Linked DNA regions of Sus scrofa. The protein of the gene in region 2 purifies or fractionates together with the protein of the main gene of each other region. This does not show direct contact. Links are inferred from orthologs where the notes say so. Each region holds a gene or a part of one and is shown on either strand. Other genes may lie near its edges.

Region 1 (7,499 bases), on a different chromosome or scaffold from region 2:
ATGGACATAGAACCTTAGATGAGTCTCCTTCTGAGAGTGTAACATTTGGTGGTTTACACCTTTACACATCCCCGGTGGACAGCTTTGGCTGGGGTGGTCTCGGGCAGGAGGGGGCCCTGGCCCAGGGTCGTATCGGTATTATTCCCATTTTACAAGTGAGCACACAGGCAGATAGAGGGTGAATAACTGACACAGGTTACACACAGTATGTTGATGAAGCTGCGATTTACAACCTCACATGTATTTTTTCATTTGTACTTATAAGAAAAAAAAAAAAAAACCTCTCCGAATTCCATCTCTTATTATAATAACTAACAGTTGAGTGTTACCGTGTATATTATATGCCAGGTACTGTCTAAGTGCTTGGCATAGGACGTTTAATTTTTGTCTGTACAATAGCCCTGTGAGGTCGACACTACTGTAACACACCCTCATTTTATAGAAGAGTAAATAACTCTTCAGTAAACCCTAAATAACCTGACCTTGGTCGTACAGTGGTGGAGCCCAGCTTCAAACGCGAGCATCCCGACGCCAGAGCCTGTGTGTGGGTTGATGTTCTTCCTGCCTGTGTGCCGGGGCCCAGGCACCCATCGTGCATCTTCCTCCAGGCTCTGGCTAAGGTGTGCTTCCCATACTTGTAGTCATGAAAGAGTATTTTTTTCCTTTTGCTTAACAGATGCTAAGTATTTCACTGTTGATAATAATCTTTCTAACCATGACTACCTAATAGGCCTTTGAACAGATTTAGCCTTGCTTACCGAACCTGTTGTCTTTTGCTGAACGTGTATTTGTATATAAAGTCTCATTTCCTTGGGGGCAGATTCCCAGAGGAGGGTGTTAACTCCTATCAGAAATACAGGAGTTTCCATATTGTTTGGTATGTCATGGGGCTCTATTCTAGTCTGGAGGATGAGGAAAGGCTCCCAGGATGACCCACAGATCCACGGCTTTGCTTCTGCATGGGGTTCCCCTGGAGGGCAGTGTGGAGCAGGGCTGATCCCAGGAGCAGTGGTTCAGGTGTAGAGGGTCAGCGGGGAGGCACTGGTATTGAGGGAAAGGGAGACAGAAGGGGGACGGGAGTGGTCCAGGACCAGCTAACGCATCCTAAAGCCAAACAGGGTGCACCAGGAACCCGTGCCAAGAGGGGACTGCAAGGGCCCAGAGGAGAGCAAAGCTCATCACGAAGCCGGCAACCAGGAGAGAAGTCCAGATCCTTTTGTCCACCTCTTGGTGTCTGAGTTGCCAAGGAAAACAGCATGGTCAGGCTCCAGTTGGAACAGCGTTTTCATCCACACGGAGAAGAGACACCAAGATCAGCCCCCGTGTGCACGGATCCCTTAATGGCTCGGGGGGGGCCCCCATCCCTTTCCTGCTGCCTAAGAGCACCCCTCTAGTGCCATAGCAGGACCCCTCCCCTTCTCTCACTGAGTCTGAAACACTGAATTGCAGGCGGGGGGCAGTTGCCCCAGAGTCACTGATGTCCATGCTTAAGCAGAAGAAAGAAGCACAGGTTGTGTGAAGCAGGGAAGGATTTTCTCACACAAGCCTGGCACAGGCTGTTTGGGCTCTTTTTGGGTAAGGAAGTGTTCCAGGCCCAAGGCTTATTCTTAGGTGGCGAAGCAAGACCTGAAAGACTGAGCTGGAGACTGCCTTTCTGACAGGGTCCACTACAGAGGATGTGCCCAGTCAGTCTTTGCTAGGACTTAAATCTGAGGACAGAGCATTCACAGCCCCTCTCGGTGGGTGTCACTCCGCCAGGGCCCTGAGTAGCATCCTGCTGCTGCTCTCAGGACAGATCTTAGATGCCACAGTTTCATACAGGGGTGTCAGGGAAGGAAACTGATGAGGGGGGTCTCTTGTTACTTCACAATTACCAGGTCATTTTTCAGTTTTCACTGTAATAAGCAAGTTTGTAAGGCATTTTTCATGCTCCTAAACTCCCAGTGTGAGGCATCAGGCAAAGGAAACCCAAATGTCTCAGACCCTCGAGACCAGTGACATTTGATTACGGTCTGTAGAAAGATTCCTCTGTTGTGTTTTCATCAAGTGGCCAAAAAGGGAAGAAGAGGGATTAGGTCATAAGTCCGTATTTCAGATTATTTTAGGTTAAAAAAAAAACTAGTTAAAAAGAAGTTACAAGTGAGTATACTGAAAACCACTGAATTGTACATTTTATTTATTTTTTAGGGCCGCACCTGTGGCACATGCGAGTTCCCAGGCTAGGGGTCCAGTAGGAGCTGTAACTCCCAGCCTACACCACAGCCACAGTACTGTGGGATCTGAGACCCATGTGTCACCTACACCACAGCTCACAGCAATCCCAGATCCTTCACCCGCTGGCCAGGAGAGGTCAGGGATCAAACCCGAGTCCTCATCCTCATGGATACCAGTTGGGTTAGTTACACCTGAGGCAGGAGAAGAACTCCCGAATTGTACATTTTAGAGGGTGAACCTTACGGCAAGTGATTTACATCGCAAGGAAAAAGGCAAAAAAAAAAAAAAAAAAAAAAAAAAGGAATGATAAGAGAATTAAGATACTAATACACATGTAAAAGAATACCTAGTTTGTAAAAAGAAAAAAGATATAAAAAAGTCTATCCACGTGTATCTCCGGCGTCTCTACCGTGCACTGTGCGCCTGCAGCCCTTTACAGAGCACCTTGAGCCTGACTTTCCCAAGTATTTCATCCGGACAGACAGATGGGCCAGTGTGCCCAGGATCTTGGCAACGAAATAGTGACAGAGCAGAGCTTACATTCGAACCTGCAGCTCCCTGACTTATAAGGGCCCGACCTGGATCACTAGGGTTCACTGCTCCCCAACTGCGAACAGAGTGGAGCGGTCCCCCAGAACCCCTTACCCCGCCCACCCCACAGCTCCTCTGCCCCTGCCTGCGCCATCCTCCTGCCCGCGCCATCTGTTCGCTCCATCGCCCAGAAGGAGCCCAGGGCAGTCAGGCCGTCAGCGAGGCTGCGACACCCCCAGCCCCAGACGCCGAAGACAGAGAACGTGCAGTGCACGCTCAGCGCCAGCCCGCCTGCCTCCCCGGCACAGGCAGGAAACGCGGCACCTGGGCACGACTCGAAAGGCCAGCGGAGCGGGGTCTGACAGCGCCCGGGGCTGCGGGGGCCTGCGGGGGCCTGCGGCCCCGCGCCCTCCCGGCTGCCGGCAGAGCTGCCGGCCATCGAAGCTTCCGGGGGCCTTCCGGGGCCGGACCGCGCCTGGGCCTGCGCGGCGGGGCCGGGCTGGGCGGGAGCTGCCCCCGCGGCTCCTGGCTCCGGGCCGGCCCGCGGAGCGGCGGCCGGGGCGGCGGGCAGGCAGCGCGCCGGGCAGCCCTGGGCCGGAGGCTATGGCGGCTGCGCTGGGGGTGCGCGGGGCGACGCGGGGCTGGTTCGCGGCGCTGCGGGGTCGACGCCAGAGCCTCGCAGCTATGGTGAGTGCGGAGAGCCCGCGGGGTCGCGGGAGGGCGAGGCGCCGCCGTGCCGGCCGAGGGGCGGAGGGACCCGAGCCGACCCCGAAGCGGGCCCGGCCTTCGGGCTCGGACTTTGGGGAGTCACATTCGGGTACCCGGCACGGTCGGAAGCGCTGGTCCGAGACATGGGTGGCCGCAGCATCTTAGTTTTCCTTTGGCTTAAAAATCCCGTCGTCGTCTACCAAATTGCCAACCGGAAAACAACCGAGGCCGACTTTCATTAGAAAAGAAAAAAGTAAACATGAAAAGCAGTTGCGAAAGTATTTCACCATTAGGGTTTCTTGATGAGACTCCAGTTGCCGTTCGGTCCTCTAGACTGTGCGCTCGGAGAGAGCGGGCGCCGTCTCGCTCTCGGCTCGCTCGCTGTAAACAGCGGGACTGAATGTGGAACGAATTCATTTCTCTTGGTGTTAATTTTTTTTAAAGGAATTACTATTGAATTACCTTTTTGGTGGCACATTGCCTCTTAATTCCTTTTCTGAGGGGCATCCTGTCAGTTTCCCTGCTTTGGAAATTAACAGATTGGGGGGTAAATTAACTGGAGGGAAAGTTTTAACTTGCAGCACCACCTAGTGGGAAAAAGTTGCGTGAAACTCACCTTTTCATTTTCTTTAATTGCTTGTGGGGGCCCATTTGGCAGTTTGAAATCCTTTAATAGAAGAAATTAAAAATAACTCGATGATGGGAAAGATGGGCACTCTGCTTCTTGGCCACTAAGGCGAGGACGCAGGTGGAGTGCTCACTGTCACCTAGGCGTGTCCCAAGGCATGCCTCTACCTAGGGTGCTTGGTGATCCAGTAAAACTGTGGGGTTTGGAGAGGAATGAATAAACGGACGGGATTGGAGTGGTTGCCACGTGCCGGGCTCTCTGTTGGGTGCCTTCACACTCAAGAGCTCTTTTAAGCCTTTCAGGAATTTTGGCAGGTGGCTGTGGTAATATCCCCACTGTAGAGCGCTGCTCATCAGAGAGGCGAAGTGATTTATTCAGCACCCACAGCTGGAAGTAACAAAGCTAGATTTCGAATCAAGATGACTCTCCAGGAGTTCCAGTTTGGCTCAAAGGAAACGAATCTGACTAGTATCCACGAGGAGGCAGGTGGGATCCCTCACCTCCTCAGTGGGTAAGGATCTGGCTTTGCTGTGAACTGTGGTGTAGGTCAAAGACGTGGCTCGGATCTGGCATTGCTGTGGCTGTGGTGTAGGCTGGCGGCTATAGCTCCCATTTGACCCCTAGCCTGGGAACCTCCATATGCCTTGGGTGCGGCCCTTAAAAAAAAAAAAAAAGAAAAGAAAAAGATTACTCTTCAGATCCTGTGCTTTCTCCATCCCTCCCAAAGGGGGAAAAAAAATTCAAGTCCACCGCAAAGGGTTCTACAGAGGGTATGTCCCCAAGAGAACCGTTTGTGTTACGTAGGTGACATGACTCCATTTCAGCCCCAGACCTGATCCCTGTGGCTGTGGTGAGCGCAGAGTGCATGTCACCGACCTCACTGGGCTGTGGGTGGTGGAGCGAGCAGAAAAAATCGGCTCAGGGTGGGCTCCGCAGACCCCAGGCGACTGCTGCGTTACCCACAGCATGGTTGAGAGTTTTCTTTTGCAGCTATTCAATAATAATTCCCTTTCTTTTCCAAAACGACTCTGCATTGACCTAAAATATTTAAATATTCAGTTACAATTTTAGATTATTTCCTAGAGGGGGTCTGCGTGTGAAAATTTTCAGAGCTATTGCTGTGAAACTAATGAATACTTTGGTTCTGAATAGTGTATTTTTTCCCTTTTTTTGGAGTTTCGTGGACGTTTAGTTGATTGGCAATGTTGGGATCATGCCTGGTGTACAGCGCAGTGATCCAGTCAGACCCACACTCGAGTCCATTCTCTCTCAGATTCTTTCCCCACGTCGATGATCGCAAACTATTGCGTAGAGGTCCCTGTGCTGAACAGCAGGTCCCTGTGAGTCCGTCATCCCATATACCTCAGTGTACATGGGCCAGTCCCAAACCCCCATCTGTCCCTCCCCTGCCCCACCTGCCCCCTTTGATAATCATACGTTTTTCGAAGTCTGTGAGTCTGTTTCTGTTCTGCAAATAAGTTCATTTATATACATTTTTTAGATGCCATATGTCAGTGACATATCATGTTTTCCTTTCACTGTAGCTGCACTTCATATGCTAATCTCTAGGTCCAGTCATGTTGATGCAGATGGTGTTATTTCATTCTTTTTTACGTGCGTAATATTTAAGTGTTTTAAAATTTTTTTCTTATTTTTTCCCTTTATTTATTTATTGGTTTGGTTTGGTTTGGTTTGGTCATGCCTGCGACATGCAGAAGTTCCCCAGGCCAGGGATCCAAACCACGCCACATCAGTGACCATGCCGAATCCTTAAGCACTAGGCCCATAGGGAACTCCTTTAAATGGTTTTTGATAACAAGGCTTTAAACATTTTTATTTAATTAAGACATATTTTCATTTTCTGTTTGGTTAGTTATAGGGAAGGATAGCTGACCTAGCGAGGAAGAAACTGGAAAGCTGGGTCATTCGTGTCCTTTTTTTCCTCTTAAAGAATAAGTTGTCTTAGAGTGAGTTGACTTACTTCGCCTTCTTAATTCCATTGATGTCAGTGGTGAAGGCTTTTAGGATTTCTGAAGTGGGGATGAGTTGCAGTTTCATAGTGGAGGATCCAGTCCCTGGTTGCCCTTTTTTTTTCTTTTTCTCTTTTCTTTTTAGGGCTACACCCGCCGCATGTGGAAGTTCCCGGGCTAGGGGTCGAATCGGAGCTACAGCTGCCAGTCTGCACCACCGCCACAGCAACGCTGGATCCGAGCCACGTCTGCAACCTACATCACAGCTCACGGCAGGGCCAGGTCCCCGACCCACTGAACGAGGCCAGGGATTGAACCCGCATCCTCAAGGATGCCAGTCAGGTTCATTTCCACTTCGCCACAGTGGGAACTCCCCGGTTGCCCTTTGCTAAGGAGTCCTCACATTAGTTCAGTCTCTCTGGATGCCAGTCCTGCCCTTATCTGAGCCTGTAGTAGCCCTGCAAATAGGTAGGGCAGGAATTACTGGTTGGTACTTGTGCCAGAATAAGAACATGGCTCTTCTGGCTTCTCCTAGAGTGTCCCTTTCTTCTGTCTGACATGCTCTTCAGAGTTCTTTCAGTTAAAAAACAAATAGCATAGGGGTTCCCGTCGTGGCGCAGTGGTTAACGAATCCGACTAGGAACCATGAAGTTTTGGGTTCAATCCCTGGCCTTGCTCAGTGGGTTAACGATCCGGCATTGCCATCAGCTGTGGTATAGGTCGCTGACGCGGCTTGGATCCCGAGTTGCTGTGGCTCTGGCATAGGCCGGTGGCTACAGCTCCGATTCGACCCCTAGCCTGGGAACCTCCATGTGCCTCGGGAAGTGGCCCTAGAAAAGGCAAAAAGACAAAAAAAAAAAAAAAAAAAAAAAAAGCAAATAGCATAGGAAGTCTGGGCCCGTTAACCAAGTAACTCCAGGTTTGGGAATGTCATTGCCAGGGTGAGTAGGAGCAGGGTGGACAGTTGTGCACAAGTGCTTTGGACCGGGCGGTGCTCTGGCCAGACTCTGGAGAGTGTTCGTTTTGCTGTGTTTCTGAGAAAACTCATTCCACTAAGGCAGGGGCTTTTTACCTGTAGTCCAGAGGCTCTGTGGATGCCCAGAAGTTATTATACAAAATCGCCTGTGAGTGTGCATTTGCTTTTTCCTCTTTGGGGATTGGGCTTCCTTTGCACTGACAGTAGATGGTGAACCCAGAGAGCTGGGTGAGGAAGGACTGAGAGCTAGGAAGTGGGAATATCCAAAGAGCGATAGACCAGGAGTTTACAGCCTTGAGTTCGAATCCTGGTTCTACCCTGGGACGTGCAGGGTGTCCTTGGGTGGATGTCTTTGTCTCCGTTTCCCAAGTCCTGGAATGCTGGCCACGGGTGATGGTCTTTGGTACGACGGCCAAATGGTCAATGTCAGCTGTATCTGTAATAAACCAGAGAAGCTGACCTGTGAAGTCTG
Region 2 (6,325 bases):
GCCCTCTCCTCAAGCTCCCTCTTTTTGGGGCCTTCTCTCTTGGCCAGTCGCCTCCCTGTATCCCCCCCATAAACAGACCAGCTCCAGTCAGGTCTGGGCCCAGAAGGAGCCCTGTCAAGTAGCTGGAGAAATAGAGGGAGGGCGAAGGGCGCGGATTTCCATCGGGAGTTGGCTTTGGATGTTTACTGCTTGTGAGCACCATCTTGTGCCAGACGTCTCACTCCTGGGACATCCCTGTGAGGCCTGGGCTCTGGTAAAACCCCCACTGCATAGATGAAGATGCGTAGGGTCAGAGAAGTGAAGTCACATAATGAGGTCACACAGCTGGCACTGGAGCCAGGTCTGCCTCACTGCCAAGCCTGCGCTCTCTAACTGCCACCCTCTATCTCTGGCTGCTTTCGGACTGAGGCACTGAGAGGCAGCTCTGGGGCCCTGTGGTGACTGTCCTCCCCTTGCAGCAGCGAGGATGGTGACGAGGAGTTGCAGCGGTGCCGGGAGGCGGCTGTGTCAGCCTCCGACATCCTCCAGGAGTCCGCCATCCACGGCCCTGTCAGCGTGGAGGAGAAGGCAAAGAAGAAGAAAAGGAAGTTGAAAAAGAAAGCCAAGAAGGAGGCCAGTGCCAGTGTGGCTGCTGCTGCCACAGTCACCACCACAGGCAAGGCCGCAGTTGGGAAGCAGAGCAAGGAGTCCGCTGAGCTCAATGGAGCCCAGGTACCACTTGGGACCAAAAAGAAGAAAAGGAAGAAAAAGGCAAAGAGGGCCGGCGAGGCTGCCCCATCCCCGCCAGCAAAGAGTGCAGCAGCCACGCCTGTACACCGAGTCCTGCCTGTGGGCACGGGGCCCAACTAGCGGCGCCCCCTGGGGACAAGTCTTTCCCAAGCCCCACCTCCCTTTCCAAGTGCAAGAACTCAACTCTGTCCATGATGGGCTTGCCCAAGGGTCGGGGCCGAGAAGAGGTTGTAAGGTGAGAAACATGAGCAAGGCCTGCCCTTCTCTGCTCCCACTGGGTACCAGAGTGTTCTGTGGCCTCAGGAAGAAGGAGGAGGACCCCAGTTTTTCAAGGCTGATGGCCAGGTGGCAGAGCTTCCACCTCCTCAGCCTGTTGTGGGAGACAATCTGAAGAAAACGAGGGAGGGGGTCCCCGAAGTGCCAAGGCCCAGGAGGAGTTTGGTGCTTCTCCCTCCAGTCACCCAGTCTTGAGAAAGGAGAGATTCCCTCCTCCCCCACCCCCCAGTTTTCCAGAATTTTCTTCCTCCACATTTGTGAATACACCATGTACAGTTGTGTCTCTGAGCCAACCAGAGTATCAAAAATAAATTGTCGAGGGACCCAAAACATAACAGAGTGATTTGGGTGCTGCCCTCCATCAGTGCTGAATCTTGATGAGTCATTTGAAGTAAGCACCACCCAGGCAGGGTTGTCCTGCCTACACCCCAAGTAGGGTTCCTGCAACAGCTTCAAGACTTTCAGGATGTGCCACGGCACCCAGGGATCAGGATTCATCTACAGGGGTGTTCTGCAAGAAGTACTGGAAGTTCAAGATGAAGCTAAGATTCTGGCTTCCTTGCCTGGCCTCAGAGATTCAGCAGAGCAAGGAAAACAGGTGGGGGATGTGTATGTGTGTCTGTGTGTGTGCACGCACATGCGCACGTGCCAGCCCCACCCCTCCTTGGTCCCCAGGCCCAACCCCAGCTGGGTGATGTGTGGACAAGCAAGAAGTTTCCAACCTGTTCCTCACTTGCTTTATTAAAAGTTAAATAAATGTGCAGGCTTGCCTTTAGCTGGCTGCAAGCTGCAGGGGCGCTAGTCTTCCCCAGCCCCCTCCTCAAGGTGGAGGAGGTCCATGAGGGCCCTGTGATCTGCAGCAGCCCTGGGGAAGGGTCAAGTGAGCCCTGGATCGACATGGCTGCCTTGTCCCTCAGGGCCTCAGGCAGGTCTTCAGTGGGCTGTGAACCATCTGGGCCTCTCCCCCTCCCCTCACCAGCCAGGCCCCAAGCTTCCAGATGGCAGCCTCTCCACCAGCCTCACCTCTCTTCTCCCCTCTGGGCTCAGCTTTGCCAGCTGCTTTGGCCTTACTGCCTTCTGAGCTCAGCATCTTCTCCCCCAAACCAGGAAAGGGCCTGCTGCCCCACGACTCAACCTGGCACCAAGTGCAGAATCACGAGCCTCCCACAGGAGCAAGGACAACGTCTAGCCCTCAGGGGAGCTTTCCAGTAGAGGCAAGATGCCAGGCTGGCATCAGGAAGTTTGCTCAGGACACGGGAAGCTGGAGAGGCCTGCCCGCCCCAGGCCCTGGTGCAGAGTAGTCACCCAGGCAATGCTGATCTGAATGGGGGGACAGGTAGGTTGAAATGCACGTGCAGGTTAATAACAGGAAGGGGGGCTGGGTGGAGTGGCCCAGTCAGGGCATAGGTGACAGAATGGGGCCATGTTGATCTGTGGCCTCTCTCCTAGGCACACAGGCCTGTATCCTGAGAAGTAGGGTGCCAGTGCTCTCCACAGGCCCAGGCTGGGGGTCCCCAAGTCCACAGGCTGCCCCTTTCTCTTCCAAGTGACAACGTTTACCCTCAGCATCAGGGACAGTCCCTCCAGAGTCCTGCCAGGAGCAGGCTCTGCTTCCCAGCTCTCCATAATCCCCTCTTGGACACTGAAGCAGCCCTCTTCGGGTTGGGGCACCTCAGAAACCCTCCCTTTCTGAAGCCAACAACCGGGTAGGGACTGAGGCACAGTTTTCCCGGGAAGAGCAGCAGCCCAGAGGCAGTGAAAGTTTGTAGCCTCAGATGTTCTCGTCGTCACTCCTCAAAAAGGCTGTGTAGGCTTCAGGGCCCAGCCCCTTGGAAGCAGTTGCCATGGTTACTGGGAGGATGAGGCCATCTGCGTGGAGATGAAGGTCTCGATGACACTGTGGTTGGATGGCAGCAGGTGGCTGTGACCGTTGGTGGAGTCGGAGCTCTGGTACAGCACCAGGCTGCTGGAGGACACTGCAGGGACAGTGAAGCTGCCGGCTGCCCGCCTTGACCATTATGTCCCCTCCCCACTCACCATCCCTGAGGGGACCTGGGATGGGAAAGTGGGGACTGACTACCTCCTGAATCTTAGCAGGTAACCGGAACCCTAAAATCAAACCCCTACCCCTGGGTCTTGTCAACCTCTGGCCAGGCTCCAGGGCGCCCCAGGGAGTGGCCTCAGCACATTTTAGTGGGAACTTCTGTGTGTCAGTTTGGCTTCCTTTTAGTACCCAGTTCTTGAGCCCAACACCAATCCAAGTGTTGCTGTGAGGGCATTTCATAGGTGTGGTTAACACCCAAATCCGTTGCCGTTAAGTAAAGAAGATTTCCCTCAATAATGTGGGTGGGCCTCATCTGGTCAGTTGAAGGCCTTAGGAACAATAGCTGAGGTTTCCCAGAGAAGGGATCCTGCCTCAAGACCACAGCATTGCCTCCTGCTCTGTGGCTTTCACACTTGCCAGCTGCCCCCCGGTCCTGTGAGCCAATTCCTTAAACATATGTATATGTTTGTGTGTGTGTGTATGTGTGTATGTTCCTGTTGGTTCTGCATCTTAGGAGAACCGGGATTAATTCAGATGGTTAAGAGAATAAATGGGCTTTGAGTTTGGACCTGGGTTCAGGTCCTGGCCCCACCACCTAGTAGCTGTCAGAAGCAAGGCCAAGCCCCTCCTTGAGTGCTTTGTCATCTGTAAAACGGAGGCAATGACACCTGACAGGTAAAGCATGGAGCCCTTGGTGACTGTCCCTGCTGCCATCAGGGCTGGATGGAGGACCCTGAGGCTCACACTTAGCAAGTGGCTGCCCCAGGCCCCAAAGTGCCTGCTCTTCACTGTGACATCGTGGGCTGCAGACTCGGGTTGGGCTGGAGAGCCCACACCCTGTGGTTGCCACAGGGGAACAGGAGTCCTTCTCAATTTGCAAGAGAAGCCAGAAATCTGTGACAGCTCTTGTTTTTTAAATGTTCGCAATGAATTTAAAAAATGCTAAACCCTAAACCATTTGTGTCACTTCTGGCCCCCAGCAAGCCCGTTCTGGCCTCATGATTACCCGCTATTACCTCTTCTGGTTATCTTTTTCATCAGCTGAGCCTAATAGAAGTTACTGTGAGACCCATTTCCTGTGGTTTCACACCCCACTTGGCTCACTTTGGGGGAGCACAGGTGCCCCTTCTCATTTACCCCCCTCTGCTGGGCATACCTTGCTCCCCAGCTTTGGGGACATCAGGGAAGGGGGCCAAGGAAAGGTTGCTCACCAGTGGGGCTGGCACTGAGCCTATGGGCGGGCTGCAGGTGCTGGATGCCAGCAGGGTCCTGGCTGGGGATGTGGATGGTGGTGGCCTGAGATGCCGGCGTGTGAAGCCCAGACTCGCTGGAGGCCTCAGTATCCGAGGTGAAGACCTGGTGGAAAGGCAGCCTCCTGAGCCCTCCTGGTTGTGCCCTGGGGCAGGGCCCGGGGAGGGGCTGGGGCAAGCCTGGGCCTTACCTGCTTGGTGGGCGTGAGGCTGGCCAGGGCGCTCAGGTTGGTGGTGTCGGTGATGAGCATGGTCTGCGGAAGCAGGCCCGTGTGGGTGTACTGGGCCACCTCGGGCTTGTGGCTGTAGAGGGCTGGCCGGGAGGGGGAGGGGAGGGTATATACATGGCACCTGGGCACCCCTCCCAGGAGGGCCTCAAAGTGGGGGCTCAGGGAAAGTAGGGTGTGGGCCTGGTGAGCAGCCCTGTGGGACAGTAGTTGGGGACTCAGGGTTCATTTCCAGGTCTGGGAGCTCCAGATAGAAGAGTTGGATGCGCTCCCCAACTACAGGGGCCTGCTTTGCCTAGTCTGGTGGAGAGGAGTCTGGGGGAGTCCAGGAACCCAAACCCAGCTCCTTCACGTGGAATTACCAGGTGTGAAAGGGAACAAGAGGCACAGGTGCTGTTGTCCTAAGCACCGACCTTGGAGGGAAAGGCTGGCGCCCCCTGTTGGGGGGTGGGGGGGACAGCATATCTCTACTCCAGGACCCTCTCCACAGTGTAACCCAACCTTTCACCTGTAGTCAGTCCCCAGCCCCACAAAAACACAGATGCCAGCAGAAAAATAACACAAATCGCATGGATAAAAATCTACCCACCCAGGAGTTCTCTTTTGGCTTAGCAGGTTAATGATCCCGTGTTGTCACTGCTCTGGCTCTGGTTCCCACAGTGGCGCAGGTTTGATCCCTGGCCCAGGAACTTCTGCATCCCATCGGCTTAGCCCCCCCCCCAAAAAAAAACCTCAATGGTTTCCAAATGAGACAGCTTGAGGGGGATGGGGGAGGAGGCACTGAGGGTTTGGGAAGGAAATGCTATAAAATTTGGTTGTGATGATCGTTGTACAACTATAAATGTAATAAAATTCACTGAGTAATTTTTTTAAAAAGGATGTAATGTAAACCTATATACAGTTAAGGTTAATTGCAAATAGAGATTCACAGATCAGTGGTGGTAAAAGAGGTGCTTCCTTTGTGTTGTCTGGTTTTTTGTGCTATAGCATGTCTTTATTTTTTTTTTCTATCATAAATTCCTTGTCTAAATTTCCACTCTTTAGCCCAAGTTTGGTCTCTAGTAGAGCAAATGTACTTCCCGCTGGAGTGAAACCAAGCATGCATGAGGCTTCTAGTTTAAACCACTTTCCTAAGTTATCCTAGGGCCCCACCTAGCTCTGACCTTGGTTTTTTTATTTTTTTTATTTTTATTTTTATTTTTTTTTGTCTTTTGTTGTTGTTGTTGCTATTTCTTGGGCCGCTCCCACGGCATATGGAGGTTCCCAGGCGAGGGGTCGAATCGGAGCTGTAGCCACCGGCCTACGCCAGAGCCACAGCAACGCGGGATCCGAGCCGCGTCTGCAACCTACACCACAGCTCACGGCAACGCCGGATCGTTAACCCACTGAGCAAGGGCAGGGACCGAACCCGCAACCTCATGGTTCCTAGTCAGATTCGTTAACCACTGCGCCACGACGGGAACTCCGGACCTTGGTTTTTTTAAATTTACCTTTATTTAGCCCTTTATTACCTATATTTTTTCATGGTGTAGTGTCTTCATCTTACTAAATTGAAGGAGTGGTACTTTAAATTCAACTCACTGAACATTCGTTGATAATGTACATTGTCCTAAAACTTTTACTGTTTTGTTACTTTAGGATCAATATAGTGTATCAGTATGGAGACTTTAATACCTACTGGCTTTGGAAATTTCCTCTCTGTTTACATTAAAATACATGCAACTTGGTAAAAAAAAACAAAAAAAACAAAAAAAACAAAAACACTCATCCACCCACATTCACTCATAAATGGTGCCCTC

What was found. The genes of interacting proteins can lie anywhere in the genome.
Region 1: the proteins of HNF1A (region 2) and PCBD2 purify together in Homo sapiens (affinity purification with mass spectrometry; 4 studies listed by BioGRID and IntAct, with this or other methods). This does not show direct contact. The link is inferred for Sus scrofa from reciprocal best matches to the Homo sapiens genes HNF1A and PCBD2.

What each region holds. Positions count from the first base shown.
Region 1 is NC_010444.4:137,079,628-137,087,126, forward strand, and holds the start of PCBD2 (pterin-4-alpha-carbinolamine dehydratase 2), read left to right. Parts: upstream 1-3,292; 5' UTR 3,293-3,348; coding exon 3,349-3,432; intron 3,433-7,499.
Region 2 is NC_010456.5:40,883,727-40,890,051, reverse strand, and holds the end of HNF1A (hepatocyte nuclear factor 1-alpha), read right to left. Parts: intron 4,613-6,325; coding exon 4,491-4,612; intron 4,406-4,490; coding exon 4,261-4,405; intron 2,982-4,260; coding exon 2,854-2,981; 3' UTR 1,730-2,853; downstream 1-1,729. Other genes in the region: C14H12orf43 (uncharacterized protein C12orf43 homolog), read left to right, coding at 459-849. UniProt on the Homo sapiens protein: Transcriptional activator that regulates the tissue specific expression of multiple genes, especially in pancreatic islet cells and in liver. Binds to the inverted palindrome 5'-GTTAATNATTAAC-3'.